2 linked regions of the Tamandua tetradactyla genome follow. The protein of the gene in region 2 interacts with the protein of the main gene of each other region in a pairwise test. Links are inferred from orthologs where the notes say so. Each region holds a gene or a part of one and is shown on either strand. Other genes may lie near its edges.

Region 1 (9,929 bases), on a different chromosome or scaffold from region 2:
AGAGCAGATTACAAAACATAAAACACGATCATTATTTTAGTAAAAATATAGAAACATACACAGGACAGGAGTCAGAAGGATGTCTGGTGTTTTTTCTGCATATGATTATCTGTGTTTTCTACATTTCTGCAATGCATATATATATACTACTTTAAGATAACAAAGATAAATGGTTATTTGCAATTTTTTAAAAATCAAGAACTTCTATTCAACAACAGATATCACAGGTGGCAGATGACATTCTAAGAGAAAATATCTGCAACATCTAAAACTGACAAGAAATTATTATTAGAACAGACTTTCTCAACAGGGGCTCCTCAAATGAATCTCAAAGGAGGCAAATAATTTGAGTGACTATTTTTTTTCCAGCTCTTCCAAGGATGCTAGGTAAACAGGCCCTGTGGTAGATAAATCATGTACACCAACAAAAGACATGTCCTTAATCTGTGTCCTGTAGGTGTGAACCCATTGTAAACAGGATCCTTTGGAGATGTATTATCATTTAAGGTGTGGACTCCTTTTTGCGTAGGATCTTCTAAGATCCTACTTAGGTATGACCCAACTGAATGAGGGTGGGCCTTAATCTGTATTATTGGAGGCCTTAATCTATATTATTAAAAGAAAAGCCAGGCCAGAAGTAAAAAATAGCCATTAGGGGAAGACCAGAGGCACTGACATGGGATACAGGCAGAGATGCACAACAGCACAAGGATGCTAAAGACTTTGGGGAGAAAGTCTGGCCTTGCTGAAGCCTTGATTTTGGATTTCTAGCTTTTCAAACGGTGAGATGATAAATGCTTGTTGTTTAAGCCAACCCATCGTATGGTATTTATCATACTAGCCTGGCAAATGAAGATTGTACCATGCATAGGAGAAAAGGTGACTTATAATGTACAATGGGTGCCTTAGGGTAACAGGGCTTAATTCTCTGAGGAACCCTGGTCAAGAAAGACCGAACTAAAATATGCAAAGATCTCCTACAAAGTCACAAAAAAGAGACAAGAAACTTAGTAGAAAGTTTGGTAAGGAGTTCACAGAAAGAAACCAGAAATGAAAAGATGCTCAACCTCATGGGTAACCAGGCATGCAAATAAAAATGAGATCACTCTGTACCCATCAGATTGGCAAATTCAGGAAGCTGGATGATGCTATGTTGTCAACGATATGCAGAAATGGGATCCCTATACACTGCTGATGAGTATAAACTGCTACAACCAATGTGGAGAATGATATGATGATGCTAGTTAATGAAACGCAGTATGTATGTGCCCTGCAATCCTGTAATTCCACTCCCATCTACAAACACAAGAAACCCTGGCATAGGACCATGAGTGGACATATACAAAGATACCTGCTGTGCCACCATTTGCAGGAGTGGGAAGTGGAAGGCAATCTAGGTCTCCAAGCTCAGGGGAAGGTATAAGTGAAATGTGATGAACGTGCACCATAGATTCCTGGGCAGCAGTTAGAAGCGAAGAACTAGAAGCGAAGAACAGCATGAATACATTTTGAAGAGTTGAGTTAAAAAAAACAACTAGGAGGGCGGGCCACGGTGGCTCAGCAGGCAAGGACACTTGCCTGCCATGCCAGAGGACCCGGGTTCGATTCCTGGGCCTGCCCATGTTAAAAAAAAAAAAAAAAAAAACAACTAGGAAACAGAACACAATCCACAGCTCAATGTCATTTATGGAAATTGAAAACACAAACACATACATATGCAAAACAATGCTTCACCTTCTCAAGAGTACAAACATAATCTAAGCATATATATACAAACATAATCTAAGCATATGTATCAAAACATCAGAATTGGAATGGGTGTCTATGGGGAGAATAGGAACAGGGAAGGGGATTTGGCATGAAGGGAAAATAAAATAAAAACAAAAGATCTGCATGGACCAAAGACGATTAACTGCCATTTACTGAGGAACTGGATGAACTCAATCCTCGATATCTAAATCTTAAATAAAAAACACCACCTCTAAACAAACAAGCAAATGCTAGATGTGTGGGATGGGGATGGGAAGAGTCTCAGAGGCAGCTGGAGCACAAAAGAAAAGGCACTGCACTTGGGAGTCAGATAACCTGGGGTTGAGTCTAAGCTCTGCCACTTACTGGCCCTTTGACCTGAGATGTGTCACCCAACCTGCCTCGTGTTTCTTTTTATGTCAAACAGAAGTATAAAACGTATAGTCAAGCAGATAGCAGAATCGCTCCTGACACATAGTGGGTGTGCAAAACTACAGAGCAGGAATATGTCACCAAGATCATTTAATTCAGTGTTTTCCAACTGCAACTGGTAATCCATTAACGGGTCGGGTCATGAAATCAGTTTAATGGGTCCCAACCAGCATTTAAGAAAAAAGAATAAAATATATCAGGGTGCATTTCACTAAAAGTAAGCACTATTTTATAAAACTCTCATTTCAGTCATGTACATGTATGTCTTATTTTTTTCTGTGGGATGCCATCAAAAAGTTTGAAAAGCATAGCTGTTGTCCAAAGGGACTGTATACTTTGGAATTAAGAACCAATAAGTATCCCCCAAGATAACAGTTGGCACTTTTTAATATATAAAGTAAGGGCATTAAAAAAGAAACTTATAGGCAACAGTGGCTCAGTGGCACAGTTCTCGCCTGTCATGCCAGAGACCCAGGATCAGTTCCCGGAGGCTGCCCATGTTAAAAAAAAAAAAGGAAGAAAGAAACTTATAATCTCCCATTACTATTGTATCATAAAAGAAAGAACATTTTCAACATTGTAAAAACAGAACAGAATAAAAGCCTCTATGTAAAACTTACACACTGTACTTCTTTTCAAATTCCTTATCTTTTGGAACATGCGGACAGAATGTCAGAGATGGGAAGTGATTCACCAAGGTCAGTCAGCAGGTATGGCAGAGCTGACATTGAACCCTTAAGTTCCAGCTGTGCTTTGCAAACTCTTCCTTGGAACCCTAAAAGATCCACAGGAGGCCTCAAGGGCCACTGTTGGGTAGAAGTGGAGCCTAACAGGAAGGGCTCTGGAACCTTCAACCCTGTTTTATCAGAAACAGCCCAGCTTCTATGAGATTTCATTGAGGAAAGGATTTCATTTCTTTGAAGAAAGAAAAAAGAGAGAGAGAGAGAGAGAGAAAGAAACCAAGTTGCCTCCCGGGACAAAATCATGGAGGTCATTATCTTCTAAATTAAATTAAATTAAATTATTTTTTCCCTTGGTGAAATAGAGAGCTATCTAGTATTTCTGAGTAAATGAGAGAACAGATTGGGGTTATGCTTAAGGATAATTACTTGGGTGGGTGGTACTATATCAGCTGGAATGGCTGAGTAGGAACAGCAAGCCAGCAGAAAGAGCAGTCATTTAACTATTGCAATAGTCCTGCCTGAGATGGTGAGGAGGACTATGTGAGGCAGCAGGGATGAAGAGGACAAATTCTCTCTCCAGGAGGTAACTGACATCTTTTTTTTTTCAGTGCTAATATCTAACTGTTAGGGCAGCTCTCCCTGGGACATGGACACAGGAGTGGGACTCAGGAGGCCGGGAGAGGCCCTCACCTGCAGGGCCAGCTGGCAGTCCTCAATCAGGCCTTGAACCAGGTAGTAGCGTGCTTCACCCAGTAGCTCCCCCAGTTCTCTGGTGCTCTCAGGCAGTGGCACGGACCCATCACGCAGGTAGTTGAGGATTGTGCCAAAGTGGCGGCCACTCCGGTCAATCAGCACCCAACCTGGTGGTGGGGACGGGTGGGAGGAAGGATGGTTTTGCTGCCGGCCTTGGAGCTACCAAGTTGTTGATGAAAACAGGATTTCAAGGCTACAAGAAAAGTCTGAAGACTGATCTGCCCCAAACCTCTGCCTTATCCAAGAAAACCCCTTTAAAACTTCTTCATTCCCATACGCTTCTTTTTAACATTTCCAGCCACAAAGAGATAATTACCTCCCAAGTCTGCGGTTAGGAGGGATCCCAGGAGAAAGTTCTTAAAGAATTATCTTATCAGTAAACATCTAACCAATCTTGTTACCCCTCGCCCACCGCCCACCTGGAAGTGTGAACTCCGTAGGGGCAGCGGTCTTGTCACATTCCTTTACTAACGCACTACCCAGCACTTTACAAACACTTGTTGAAGGTTGAGCTCCCCTCTCAAATTTTTATTTCCTGCTGTCAAAATCCTTATCTACCACTTTGAATCTCCCCCACATTTCGGTGTCCCACTTGGACATTTTTTGGAGCTGCGGGGTAAAGCGTGGGAGAGTGTTAAATCACTTACCACAGCGCCTGGAGAGTTAGGGACGGGACGCTACAAAATTGTTAATCGCTAGGGGTAAAGGATCGCGGGAGGAGGGAGATGATGAATGAGAAAGGGGAGATGAGATGGGATGAGGAGCGAGAATGAGCTGACGACACTGATACCACAGAAGGGGCGTGGGGAGACCTGGGGGGCTAGGGGCCGGGGGGCGGCGCGCGTACCTCCGGCGTCGGTGAGCACCTCCACGCGGCCGCTAAACATGGCCTTGAGCATGGTGTCCTGCCCCGTGAGGGTGCGCAGCGTCGTGTAGTGAAGCGAGCCGCCCACGTTCAGCTTCACGTACTTGCTGTTGGGGGTCAGCGGCTGGAGACCGTAGGCGGCGGAGCAAGGCTCCAGACCCGAGGGCTTGGGTATTTCTAGGGTTGGGGCCGGGGCCGCGGCCGCCGCCGGGCCCGAGGCCTCCGCCGACATGTCGGGTGATGGCGGCGGGCGGCAATCCCGGGCTCTCTCCGCGCCCTCCGTCCCGCTCCCAAAGACCCCGGAGCCCGGCCCTCGGGTCAGACCGCTCGCTCGGCAGGCCGACACGCCGCCGCTACTCGGCGACGCTGACCCACAGCCCCATCGCGCCCGCTCGGCCCGAAAGCCGGGGCCGAGCAACTGCGCACGCGCGTCAAGAGCCCGCCCCCTGACCGGGGAGGGGGCGGGTTAGGGGACCTGAGTAAGGAGCATGCGCAGTGGTCTTGGAGCCAGCGGCGGAGTCGCGCGGGTTCCGGGGGCCACCGGCGAGTCCCCAAGACCATCCCGACGAGGCGGGCTGATGCTCCCGCCTGACGTGGACTGTGGCGTCCATGTACCATGGTTGGGTCTCTGCACTGAGAGCGCTTCCCTGGGTTTCATTTGGTGATGCTGAGCTGAAGCCGAGAAGAAGGGGGCCAGATGGAGGTGTGAGAGACGAGTTCCAGGTAGAGGGTGGACACAAAAGCCCTCAGGCAGAAACAAGCTGGGCGTATTTGCGGAGCAGAAAAAAACGTCAGGGTGACTGGAACAACTGAGCAGACTTCTTAGCATCCCAGATCATGCCAGGACACTTGGTGGCTGTAAAGGCACACCCATCCCCAAAAGAGAAATAAGAACACGTTGTTGAAAAGAAAGCGTGGTGAGGAGGAGCAGAACTCAACAATCTACCAGAATGTCTGTCTGGGAGCTTTGCTGAAGGAAACTAAAAGCAGAGTTAGAGTTTTAGTTTCCACCAGTTCACCGGGCAGGTCATTTCTCTCTAGGCTTGGTTGGTTCCTTTTCTCCTTGTTGAGGGGATGCAAATTTCAATGCCTGCGGAGCCAGATGGGAGTGTAAATGACTGAAATAGGGCACTTACGAGGTGTTTAGTGATGATGGGGCCTCTGGTGACCTAGAGTTCCTGTTCTTACCAAAAGGACTTGCCAATTCTGATTTTTCAAGTGTAATTGGTGTAAAAGAGAAAAGCAGCCCTTGACAACTGGGAGCTGGTCTGCACTCTCCCTTCATGGCCTCAGGATTGCTAGGAACTGGCCTGGCCTTCACAGATGGGTGAATATAAAATTTTACCCAACGCCAATATCACATAAGGCTACCCTCTGGATCTCGAAAAAGACCATTCTCTAAACGTGTCTGAACACAAATGTGGAAACATTGTCCAAGCCACAAAAATGACCAAACACACAATCTTCTTCCCTTTTCCACAGTGCTTTTTAAAGCAATTACGGCTTTAGCCCAGATTTATTTCTCCCATCTTCTAGATAAAAATTATTAAGAACCAATAGTTATCCCCACTTCCTGACAATATCCAACTCAAAGCAAAATCCCACTTTCTTGAATCCTCCTCGAAACTCATATAACACAAGCCCAGTTCCTGTAATACGTCCCTTCTAACATTTCTTGCTGAGATGTCCCATGGTTCCCCATGATGTGCACCCTCTCTTACTCAACTACTGATGTGTTCCTGGTGGTTTCTAGCTGGAGGGCATTGTCAGAAGTGGAGGATCCAGGGAGAGTCAGCTGAAGCCCACACTGCTTTTGACTGCAACTCACGACTCAAATAATAGAGTGCACATGTAAGAGCCCCTGTTTATTTACCTGTTTGAGGGGCCACCCTCCCCACAGCTGGAAGGTAAGTTCCTGCTGAATTGAGCTCTGAATATTTTGTTGAGACCCATAAGCACTGGATTCATTTTGTTTGTTTTCCATGGAATCAGGTGCCCCTGAACTTTCTGTCATCAGGTCAGATTTATATTTTTCCTTTAGTGAAACTGTTTTCTACCCTGTATACCTGCTCCTATGGTCTGTCTAGTATTTTGAACATTGGTCGTAAAAGGAAAGAACTACAGCGAATGGATAGTCAAAAACCTGCCAGCAAAATTTAGGCACATACTGAGCCAGGTAGCCTAGCACGCAAGCAGCCCTGGACTTCTAAGGGCATCACAGACCTGCTATTATTGCTCTATCTCAGGGGGACTGAATACCACTTTTCCCTCTAAGAGGTTAGGGGATGTCAGCCACTGAGGGGTCACGGAATGGGGTTGCATGCCAGAGTCTCATTCATTGTCAGAATTAAACAGACAAATTGCTCCATCAACTAAGGGCCAATAAAGTCTGTCCTCTGATCAGCTCCAGAGGCTACAAAATTTCAAAGGTATCCTCAAACCAGTGTCCTTTGGATAAACTTTGCCTTGGATCACTATTTCAAAAACCTTATAAGGACATTTTCCTCGGTTTTGTCTGAGGCCCTGAGAACTGTTTTGTTTCATTTCTTCTGCTCAGAATCAGGAGGTTTTGTCTGACCCCTGAGCAGTGACAACTGGCCTTTGGCCAAGTTCCTGAGATAAAGGTTGCACCAGTGTCATCCTTATGAACCTTTGTTGCAGCCTAAAACTGGGCCAAATTCCTCCTTCCTTCATGTCTTCTCACGATTACATTAACTTGTAGCCTTTACTTTCTAACTGGCACAATTTAGTTCACCAAGGACGACTTGGAATCGCAGTGGCTATTTTGGAGAACTTTTACATGAAAAATGTTCATTTGACAGATACTTTAGAACAAAGAAAGGGGAGAAACCTTCATGAGAAGTTTGTTGATCTTGTTTGTCAAAGAAAGAGGTTATTTGATTTAACATAGGAGATATTCATCTTCATATCCATACTTTGGGGATTTTCCAGTGCTAGCTTTTCTTTTTTTAATTGAGGTAAAATTCGCAGAACATAAAATTAACCATTATCTATTTTAAAGTGTACAATTCAGTGGCATTTCATACATTCAAAATGTGCGGCCATCAGGTCTATCTAGATTCAAGATATTTTCATCACCCCAAAAGAAAACCCAGGCAGGGTCAACTTTGCCACTTCTGGGTGCCCACCTGAACTTGTTCTCCCTCTCAGCCACTGAACACGCGCCCCAGTCCCATCCAAAGACATGTCTAAGCCTAAGGCTGACCTGGAGTAGGGCTCCTTTTTAGCCCATCATGGATGCCACAGCTGTCAGGCTCTTCAACACCCTGAGTGCCACCTGTGGCATGGCCAAGAGCGTCCCTGAAGCGAAGAGGCCTTCTGCTTCACCAGCTCCCTGATGGAAACTGTCACCCGAAGCTTCCTTTAGCTGGGTGCTGGCTGAGCAGCCTGGTGGTACCTTTGCCAATGACAATGTGGGGAAGCCGGAGTGTGGGGCCTGGCCCAGCTGCCCCCATCCTTGATCCTGATCCCTCCTCTGCACCAGCCAGCGTGGCCTCTCCAGTCTCGCTGTGGCCTTCATCCCAGCTCTTCTCCCAGCCCACCAGCCACAAGATGTAAAGACCACCCCCAATTCATTCCAGAAAAAGCAGATTGCCGCCGGGCGGGCAGCCCCTCAGTAGCTGGTCTTGCAAATGTGCAGTGTCTTAGTGTGCATTGTCTTAGGCTTCCTGCCTTGCCTTGCCCTTTGCCCCCCACCACACACACAGCAGGCCTTGGACATCTGGATCCACTCATCCCCCGCCAGGCCCCCTGAGTGCCCCCACCCATTTGTCCTGGAGTGCTCAGTATATGCGGCTGCATTCGAGTTGTCATTTTTCTCTTCACTAGATGTTTGTTAATAAAAGATGTGACCTGTGCAGCAGCTCTCCTCTCCCAACTATATAGTAATCTTAGTAGACTTTTGCCTTACCAGGTTCCCCGGCCCTGAGATTTCCCTGGATGCAACCCCCTACCCCTGAGCTCTGCTGGCATGGGACCTGCAGGGCAGTCTGCTGGGCCTGCTAGGCCCTGGCTCCTAAGCTGTGTCCAACAAAGTGTTCAGGTATGGAAAAAAGAAAAGAAAAGGAAATCTGTATCCATTAAGCAGTCACTCACCATTGCCCCCTCCCCCAAGCCTCTGGCAATCAATAGCCAGCTTTCTGTTTCTGTGGATTCCAGATGTTTCATGTAAATGAAATCATACAATATGTAACATTTTGTGACTGGCTACTTTCTCTTAGCATAATGTTTTCAAGGTTCATTGATATTGTAGCATGTATCAATCATGTATCAAATATCATTTTTTTTGTGGCTGAATAATAGATTCCATTCTCTGGCTATACCACATTTTGTTTATCTAGTCATCTATTGATGGATATTTGAGTTGTTCAGTGTTTTTTGTTTTGTTTTGTTTTGTTTACTTTTTATAGTGAAATAATCTCAAATTTATAGGACAGTTGCAAAAATAATACAAACTCCATACAGAGAAATCCAGCATACCCCCACCCACCCAGATACCCAGATCTATCAATTTCAGCATTTTGCCACCTGTGCCTTATCATTCTATCTATCTAATCTATTTCTGGACTATTTGAAAGTGGGTTGCAAGCACTATAATCCTTGAATATACAGGCTATTCCTTTATGTAATCACCTTAAGTGCAGTTATATTAAAAAAATTTAGCATTGATGTAAAGGTTACATTATATATTTCAACTTTTTCTTATGTCCCAATCATGTCCTTTTGGGCATTTTCTACATTATTAGATCCCATCCAATATCATGTGTTGCATTTTATTGTCTTTATTGCTTTAGTCAGTTTTTCCTTCCTCCTTTCCTCATTCCCTCCCTCCCTCCCTCCTCTCTCCTCTCTTTCTTTCTTTCTCTCTCTCACTCTCTCTCTTTTTTTGTTCCCCCTATTATTTATTTTTATTCCATATGTTCTACTCGTTTGTTGACAAGGTAGATAAAAGGAGTATCAGACACAAGGTTTTCATAATCACACAGTCATATTGTGAAAGCTGTATCATTATACAAACATCTTCAAGAAACATGGCTACTGGAGCACAGCTCTACATTTTCAGGCAGTTCCCTCCAGCCTCTCCATTACATCTTGATTAACAAGGTGATATCTACTTATTGCATAAGAATAACCTCCAGGATAACCTCTGGACTCTGTTTGGAATCTCTCAGCCATTGACACTTTGTCTCATTTCACTCTTCCCCCTTTTGGTGGAGAAGGTTTTCTCAATCCCTTGATGCTGAGTCTCAGCTCATTCTAGGGTTTTTCTCAATCCCTTGATGCTGAGTCTCAGCTCATTCTAGGGTTTTTCTCAATCCCTTGATGCTCTCTCACTCTCTTTTATAGAGACAGAAAACTTTCCATCCCAAACCCATCCAAGTATACCATTCAGTGGGATTAATCACATTCACAGTGTTGCAGTACCA
Region 2 (9,631 bases):
AAAGAAACAAAAAACAACCACTGAAATGAACTTGTTGCTTTACAGCTTCCAGGGAAACACTTCCCCGACTGAGTGAGAGGAGAATCCCACAACACCATGTGATCAGGAGAATACACGGTTCCTGGAACCACAGGTTGTTTGGTGTTAGCCCTGGCTTAGTGGACATCCTTGACTTCTTACCTTGGGCGGGTCATTCGGTCTCCTCAGATGTCAAATGCTGTCTACGGGTGCTTCCAAGTCTGAGACCCTGTGAGGCTATGGGGAGTATGAAATCAGCTAGAGATGAAGCAACGAGGAAAATAGGACTCAGAGCAGGAGAAGAAGTGATAATAGGTATGAAAACCCTGAGAGAAAAAGCGAAAGCGCTGAATGGGGCACAAACTCTCCAATATTTCCGGGTGCCTTCCAAATACGTGGGTGCCTGACATTCTCCTGAGAGCTCAGCGTTCATCCAGGCACTCCGTCACCGAGCTAACGAGAAAGAGAAGGCTGATGCTTTTCTGGTTGGGGACCTTGGCTGGGACAGAAAGGAAGAGAGATATGGAGTCAGCTTCATTACGAGTGAAATGGCAATGAATCCTGCGGCCTCGTGTTGCCAGGGAGGACAATTCACTCCATCTGACCTGAGCCAAGCTCTGGCTCAGATACACAGGCAAAAATAGAAAGGGGTGGGGGTGAGGCCACGGGGGGTGGAGGGTAGGAAGGTGTTTACTTTTGTGATTTTCTTTCCTGTGCCTCTTAGCAGTACTATAACCTCTCCACAAACAGGCAGTAACGGCCCACAGCCCTTGCCTACACTGATAAACCCTTCCAAACGATTCTGTACAGTCCTTCTTAGTGTCTCACACTCAGGAGCAGGGCTGGAAAGTGAGTTCAGAAGGCAGCACGATATAGTGGAAAAGAGCCACTCACTGGCCTAGGGCCTAGCACTAACTGGGTGAACCGGGAAAAACCACCCAAGATAAAGTGGTACAATAGACAGAATCTAAAAATCTGTTTGTGTTTTAAAAGTTTATACTGGTGGTATCAACCTGGGAAGATTTCACATTTGGCAATGTCTGGAGACATTTTTTGGTCATCAGGACTAAGGCATCTAGTGGGTCAAGGCCAGGGATGCTGTTAAACATACTAAGGTGCATGGGGCAGCCTCCCCCACCCCCACCTTCACCACAAAGAAGACAAAGAGTTATCTGGCCCAAAGTGCCCATAGTGCCAGCACTGAGAAACCTTGGTTTATACAAGGGGACAGAAGAAAAGAAGGAGGGAAGGGGTTAAAACCCTATTTCTAAGTCATGAGATATTCATCAGCTATTTTTCAGCTTTTTCTACCTATAAGCAATGCCCTTTTATTTTCTCTTGGAATTATGGGGCTATGTTTGAGCAGCTTTTTCTCAAGAACATCTCCCTTATTCATCCCTAAAATGCCAAGTCCTGATGCAGTACAAAGATCTCCACTATAAGATACGGCAAAGATATAAATACAGGCAGTTTCTAAACAAGTAGAACTGGAAGGTGGGTGGTGGGGGGGTGTGGAGGGACAAAACATATACTCATAACTCTGTGTCTATGATTCAGTGTTTCTGATGTAACAGAACAGAATAATAATTATAGGACGAGCCCAGTTATGCCAGAAGCATGCAGAACTGATCTGGGGGCATGAGTGCTAGGAGAGATACAGATTTGCAGCAGCAGCAGACTCAAAGGCAAACGAAAGGGTTAAGCAATCAGCACATGTCATTTTGTATTCTGCATTAAGTCTGCATCATTCTGCATTAAGTCACTGAACAGTTATGACAAATAGTTACCTGTGGTTTCCAGTGGGGGAGAAAATAACACTCCTGTGAAGGGGTTTTGGAGAAACAGGTGCAATGAAGTCATGGTCAAACAATTTATTTACTGTAAACTTTAGACTTTGCTCAGGAAAACAACCGAAGCTGCCCCTCAAATCCCTGCCTACAATACCCCGTTTAGCAAATAAAAGGAGCGGGGAGAGTCCATGTTCACAGCTGAAAGGTCCGAGATACTCAAGATCCTCAAGTCCAAGGGTGCAGGAAGGAAAGTCTCCTTCAGATACAAATTACCAGCAGCAATATTTCACCCCTAATACTTGGCCAATGAGGTAGATACACGGAAAAGTTGCCAAAACATAGCAGATCCAGGTCCTCTGGGACGAAAGCCCTTTAGACATAAACTTAAAAGTTCCATGCAAAGAGGAACTCAACTGTACAAGAAACAAATAATCACTCGAATATGTTTTCTCTTTTTTTACAGTTTAAAAAAATAATAATAAAAAAGCAGAAGGATGTCCTTCCTCCTGCACCTCTCTATACAATTTTATTCTAATTTATTACACTCAAGTTAAATAGTCTCTTTAGTGTTTTTTTTTGGGGGGGGCCTTTAAAAAGTAGAAAAACTGCATTACAGCAGTGAGTCATTGGTACTACAATTCCTCCCTTGTGAATCAATGCTATCGTTAGGCACAGTACCTTGACAGCTCCCAAAGTCTGCTGTGCCTGGGGGGACCTCGCACAGCAGTTCGCTTTCTTTCTCTTGCCCCAGGTTATATCCACTCTGCTCCCCTGCGTAGTCAGTCTTACTGTTGGAGCTGTTGGAGTAGCCATTCCCACAGGCCTTCAGAGAAGCCCTACGCAGGCACAGAAGCTCCTGGAAGGCAATCCTGAAATCTGGGCTCCGGCAGTAGATGAGGGGATTGAAAGCGGAATTGACGTAGCCCACCCAGTTCAGGAGGATGTATACTTCCTTGGGGATGAGGTTGTCCTGGATCACATGTACAATGTTGACGATGAAGAAGGGCAGCCAGCAGAGGGTAAAAGTGCCCATGATGATACCTAAAGTCTTGAGGGCTTTGTGTTCCTTCAAGCAGAACTTGGAGGCCCTGCGATGTCCATGGCCACTCCGCCCATCCTGCTCCACCTGGCTGAGGTTTTGGGCGTGGAAGCGGCCTTCGGATTTGTCAATCTTCTGGAGCTGCCTTTTGGCCACTTGGAAGACCCTGGAGTAGACAAAGACCATGACCACCAAGGGCAAATAGAAGGACACAATGGACGAGGCGATAGCGTAGGCTTGGTTCGTGAAGAAGTCACAGCAGGTCTCCTTGGCGTAGCAGTTGATGGCTTGCCGGTGGGTGGCCCGGTACCAGTGCATCTGGATGGGCAGGAAGGAGGTGAGGCCTGACACAATCCACACCATCAAGATGACCACCCGGGCCTTATTCTTGGTCAGCAGGCTCTGGTACTTGAACGGTGAGGTGATGGCGAAGTAGCGGTCCACCGCAATCACGCACAGGGTCTCAATGCTGGCCGTGACGCACAACACATCGATGGAGGTCCAAAACTCGCACCAGAAGTTGCCAAATGTCCACATTTTCATGAGGATGTGGCTGGCCCCGAAAGGCACCACCGCCAGGCCCATGACCAGGTCAGCACAGGCCAGAGAGGTGATGAAGTAGTTGGTGACCGTCTGCAGACGCTCGAACCTGGCGATGGCTGTGATGACCAACACGTTCCCAAACACGATGGCCAGGACGATGAGGGACATCACGATGCCCATGCCCACCACCCACGCCTCGTCCCGTTCCTGCGTGACGTTGTGGTCCGGCTCTTGGCTTCCATTGGGCGCCAGCAAGAAGACGCTGTTGTTCCCGGGTTGCCCCATGGCGCGCAGGCTGGCAGGTGAGTGCACTGACTGCCGGCGCACCGGCCGCGCCTCAGCGGGCGGACCCCGGGCGGGGCGCTGCGGGCCACCGGAGGACGCCCGGAAGCCTCATTCAGCGGCCGTGAGGTGGGTTTGGCGGGGGCGCGTCCTGCACACTCAGCTTTGTGGGGTGCCCTGGGCTCGCCGTCCCCGTCAGTCCCGTCCCCGCGCTCTGGAGAAGCCGCCTCAGAGTGCGCCCTGCCCGTTATGTGCACTGGACTTTAGGGGACCTGCCCTCCCGGTGACGCGCGGCAACTTTCCGCCAATGGCGCGCGGGCAGCCCTCGCGTTCCCGCCCCGTCCCCCCCCGAGCCCCCCCCCCCCCGCCACCTCCCAGCTCGCGGGCTCCCGGCGTTGGCGCGGGCGGGGCGCAGCTGCTCCCCGGCGGGCGGGCCCATCACTCCCTCCCGGCTCCCCCGGGCGGGTCCCAGGGGGCTAAAGCGGGGGCTGGTGTGCTCGCCGGCGAAGCCAGGCGCTTTGGGCTCTGGTGTGGCTGTTACCTGTCGGTCCCGGGCGCCTGTGCGGACTGGGCAGCGCACGGGCACCTGCGGGAACAGAGGTGAGGGCGCCCCCCGAGACACGCATATACAGGCACAAATGCTCCCTGACAGACATGCTCAGACTTATACGGAACCACAGACACCGAGACACACCCGTCCAGCGCACCGACGTGCACATTCGCGCGCGCGCGCGCGCACAGAGGCAGACAGGCACAAAGTCACCCTGTCCAACAGAGACGCGGCCAGAAACAAACACAGGTTCACCCAGAGGCACAAAGGCACGGGCACGGGGAGGGAAAGAAGGCAGCACGCACAGACGCTCGCCTGGAGGCTTGCAGAGCCACGCAGACACAGACCTCCTCGTCCAGGAACTCCCCAACGCCCCTCAACCCGAGCAGATATAAATGACGCTCCCCTCATCTCCACCCCCAAACACACACACACACACACACACACACACACACACACACACACACACACACACACACCATATTCCCTTTCAAACATTTGGCAAGACCACAGGAGGTGACTTCAACAGCTGCCGATTTCCTCAGTGCATTCACTGTCAAGTCCTTTTGGTGCCCTCCTTGGGAATTTGCAGGCATTGAGACATAATTTCACTCTGGATTTCCGTGGGAGCTGGGGTGTTCATGCCTGTGTTTGGGATGGAGGGAGGAAGTTTTATGCTTTTGTTTTTAATTCTTGGGAGTGTGGCATCACTCCCTCATTACCTGTTTGAATGGACCTAAGTTGAAACTGAGATACTTTTCAGTTCAATGTCAACTTGGGAATCCCCATTGCAACGAAAACAAAACAAAATAACAACGACAAACCTTTCATCAACCCCAGATTTGTTAATCTGTGGTGTTGAACCATATGAAATTGCCGTTAATTACCCATTTTTACGTTCAAAAATGGTAATTTCATATGGCACAAACTACTTAGAAGGTATTAACATTAAGAAAATTTGAAACTCTAGAAACTATAGTTTCTATACATTTGAAACTATAGAAAGCAAAATATAAATCTTCTTTTAAAATAATCATACCACGATGAGATAGAATGAGGGTAGAGGCTGGAGAACTGGTGCTTAATTTGTGCAGAATTTTTAATAAGCTTGATTGTAAATGTTTGAAAAATGACAGAGGCAATGGAGACACATTATTGTGAAAGTAATTAATGGTGCTGAAATATAGGTGTCATTGTGTTTGAAAGGGGAAGTTTAGGGTAATGTATGCCACTAGAAGGAAAGCTGGAGGATAAAACCTGGGACTGTATAACACTGTGAACCCTTTTGTGGATGATGTTAATAGTACATATGTAAGAATTTCTCCCATGAACTAGAACGAATTTACATTACTACTACAAGCTGTTAATAATAGGGAGGTATATGGGGAAAACACAACTAATGCAAAGTATGGATTAATAGTTAATATTCTTTCATCAGTTGTAACTAAGTCACCATTGCTAATATTAGGGAGGTATAAGGGGGTGGGATTTTTCTTTTTGGAGCAATGAAGATGTTCTCAGATTGATTGTGGTGATGAATGCACAATTCTGTGACAGCCATCGATTGTACTCTTTGGATGGATTGTGTGATGTGTGAGTAAAACTGCTTTTTAAAAAATCATGCCAACTCTTAAAACTAAAGTCTTTTGTACATGAAATGCTTTCCTTTGGCATCTGACATATGATGTTACTGCTAAGAATAAATTAATTTTCAGGGTTTGATTTTCACATATATTAACGGTTTTTGAACAACAAAGTGCTTCAAGCAGTGTAACCAAACATACTTTGTAGATTATATGATAATATAACAACAGCTGACATTTATAGAATATTCTGCTATGTGCTTTTCATGTATTATTCCATTTAATCCTTTCCAAAGTCCATTGGTGGGGGGATGTTACTATTTTTAGCTTAATTCACAAATGAAGCTCAAATAGCTTTCCTGTGGGGGGCACATGGAGAGATAGGATTTGATTCCTGCCTCTCGCACTGATTCTAAAACTCATCTTCCAGTCTTTTCAATGTACTGCATCATTACACACAGGAATGGAGGACAGGGAATAAGCACTGCAATTGGAATTAGGATAGTCAGGTTCCAGAGTCATGTATTCATTGAGTTTTCTAACTCACTGTCCTTAGGCAAGTCACAAAGCTGAAGCCTGATTTGCTCCATCTCTAAAGGGGCAAATAAAATCACTTCCATTGAGTTGAGTAAGAATCGAATGATATAATACCAATAAATACGAGGGTGCTTTTGCACGTATAAATGCCACACAAATATGGATTATAAATCAAGTTGATATAGATTAGCGTGTACTGTTAGTCTCCTGTACCTAAACAATAAAATCCTTTAGGACAAAAGTAATTTGGTGTTTACGCTAGAAGTAAAACCCAGGAGCAAAATTTAACCTACATGTCCCTTTTAATCTCCTTCAATAGTAGAAACTGGTTTGACAAGAAAGATGCCTGAAAAAAAAAAACAAATATTTTCCCTAATAGCCACAAATGTTAGTTAAGGATCTATTATGTTCACATAGTTTTCAAAATATACCCACCCCATATTTGTGTTTTCCAAAACTGGCTCTGGTGTGATGCATTTTAGGAAGAGGCAGTGTCTGTTATGCAACAAGTTCTCTTAAAATATTCATCTACCATGAATTGTGGAACTAAGCCATTTAAAACCTCCTTCCTGTTTGTGAAACTATGGAATAAATAAGCATAGTGTTTAACCTTCAGATACAAAAAAAGAACAACATCAATAAAAACTAAAGACAAACACTAATTGATCATCTAGATTTATACATAAGTCACTTAAATGTTTATCTTTGAATATTTTGGGAAATACCTTTAAAAAAAATCCACAAACACTTAAATCAAGAAGGGAAAGGTGCTATGTAAACTAAGAAGTTCCAGGCCTTGCCCATCAGTCTTGCTAGGAGTACAGTCTCTTTGCTACATTGCCAAACTGGAGGCGATTCCAAGATATTGTCTTCTCGCCAAGAGTCTTTTCTCCTAGATTCCTTTTAGAATCACGAGACTAGAAAAAGTTGGAATGGCAAAGAGTTTACTAATTTAGTTTATTCTCATCTGTTTGCAATTGAAGAAACTGAAAGGCAGAAAGGAGAAGTCCAAGGTGGGAGGGCAAATTAAGAGTCCAGATCTGCTCCTGACCAATGCGTTTCACTTGCCCGCTGCTGCCGTTTCATTTCCCAGCAGAGGAGTTTGACTAATAACTGTTTTTTGTGCTTGAGGCTTTAGACAGTTAATGGTTCAGTTGAAAGTTCTTAGTAGACTAAACGCACCTTTATTTGACGTAAGAAAAAGCAGGCTCTTTTATGGTGATTGATAGTGTCCAGTTACAACTTTTGTTGGTCCCTTAAGACACTGATGTGTCCTTTCCTTCCTGCCTAACAGAGAGTAACAACACATTTTGATTTACCTATCAGGAGTAGAGCTCTGTGGTGCCAGACAATGAATCCCTCCCATAACTGCATGGCTTAGGAACATCTTATCCTGGGTCTTGGTTTAGACCAGATGCCTTCCATCTTTATGATCCTTTGAGAGGAGAAACATTTGTAGATTTCTTTCTAAATGATTGTTTTAAATGTCTGTGCATAACATCACCTCTGTTATGCATTATCTCATTAAATTTGCATTAAATGAGATAAAATTATATAAAATGCTTAGCATGAGTCCTTGCAAAAGAGGTAGTTATTATTGTTATTTTTTATTTTTATTTTTTAGCGTATGGGCTGTAAATTAAAGCCAGTCTCCCGCATGGCAGGCAAGCATTCTACCACTGAGCGACCTGTGTACCCTGTGATTTTATTTTGAACCAAAATATATATGAAGAAAACCTATTTGTCTTATCAAGCCATATCTGTGGAGGGACCCTTTGAAAGCGGATAACAATAATTTATTTTATGTTAAATTGCTGTGAAAAATAATTGAAAAAGGGATATAACTTGGCTCCTTGGAAAAGAAAAAAGAATGATTCTAAAAATTACCATTATCATTGAATTACAGGGCTGGATGGTGTGTTAGTGGTTTTTGAATGAAGCGTCTCACAGTCTAGTCAGCTGTTTATGCTATGCATCCACCAACAATCTTACAGAGCCATCTTGCCAAGCTCTTTCTTAGGTGTATATTTCTCCAGCTCTCTAGGTAGTAAACTAAAACCCATCATCTTATAGCTTCTATCCATGGATCCTAAGTCTGCCCCCTTGAGGCCACTTAACACAAGTCTCCTCTCTCTTCCCCAAGACTGTCCTTACGTTTTTGGGAGATTCTCTTAAAGAATCATTTCCAGTCCAAATATACCTGGTTCGCTTGGATCTAGAGTCCTCCTTTACTATATGACAGGTCTTTTATGTTCACGCTTGGGTTTGTCATGTCTCAACTTAACATCAATACCTGGAATGATGCTAGAATAAGTCATCAAACAATCAATTTACAATCACCTTGGCAACCATAAAATAGTGCAGAGCTGCTGGCAAAGCTTTCTGAACAGCTGACTATACTAGGTGAATTTAATTTCCTGCTGTGCCAGAGTTTTATGAGAGACATGTTAATAAATTCTCCACACATCAGAGGGATTAAACAAAGGAAGACGGCATTAAATTAAAGCAGGAGAGACTTCAGTTGGTCATAGGAAGTCTTCTTTGCCTGAAGAGAGTTAATCATTTAAAGGGATACATTCCAGCAGCTGTTCTCAGTTGGGGTTCTGCAAGAGGATTAAATGTTACAGAAAATTATTTGAGTGACTGCTTTCCCCAATTCTTCCAAGGATAGTACATACGAGGTAAGGTAAATCACCACATACAATGTAGTGGATACCTTAAGAAATAGTGTTGAATGATCTTGCAGAAACTGAGAGGGGTTGCTTAGTCTGTTTCAGGCATGGCCGTGAGTTGTAGGTGATGGAGATGATTTGGGACAGAGGAGAGAGCCTGGATGGAGATCAGAGACCTACATGCTAGTCCCCGAGCTATACCGTGCTAAGTAACCTTACCCATGCCACCTTTTGTTGAGCCTCAATTTCTCCAACCATGAAATGGGAAGCTACAGTAGAGGATATCTGAGGGCCTACCTGTTCTAAAATGAGCAAGCTGATCACGGGGAGAAAGCGAGAAGATTGAAGAACTATTATGGAGCTGGGAAGCGGAAATTTTCAACTGCCAACAAAAGAACTTGGTTGTATTTTTTCCCCACATTTCACCATTGTGATTTCTGCCTATATGAGCAGCAGGTGTATCATTTATTTACTCAACATTTTCTTGACAACGACTCACTTCAAAACTCAAATATATTTATTTTTTATTTTTTGACATGGGCAGGCTCTGGGAATCAAACCCGGGTCTCTGGCATGGCAGGCGAGAACTCTTGCCACTGAGCCACGGTTGCCTACCC

What was found.
Region 1: the proteins of ADRB2 (region 2) and KCTD13 interact in a protein complementation assay, tested with the Homo sapiens proteins (2 studies listed by BioGRID and IntAct, with this or other methods). The link is inferred for Tamandua tetradactyla from reciprocal best matches to the Homo sapiens genes ADRB2 and KCTD13.

The regions. Positions count from the first base shown.
Region 1 is NC_135349.1:24,451,102-24,461,030, forward strand, and holds the start of KCTD13 (BTB/POZ domain-containing adapter for CUL3-mediated RhoA degradation protein 1), read right to left. Parts: upstream 4,897-9,929; 5' UTR 4,715-4,896; coding exon 4,465-4,714; intron 3,725-4,464; coding exon 3,555-3,724; intron 1-3,554. UniProt on the Homo sapiens protein: Substrate-specific adapter of a BCR (BTB-CUL3-RBX1) E3 ubiquitin-protein ligase complex required for synaptic transmission.
Region 2 is NC_135346.1:29,579,086-29,588,716, reverse strand, and holds the start of ADRB2 (beta-2 adrenergic receptor), read right to left. Parts: upstream 3,895-9,631; 5' UTR 3,676-3,894; coding exon 2,419-3,675; 3' UTR 1-2,418. UniProt on the Homo sapiens protein: Beta-adrenergic receptors mediate the catecholamine-induced activation of adenylate cyclase through the action of G proteins. The beta-2-adrenergic receptor binds epinephrine with an approximately 30-fold greater affinity than it does norepinephrine.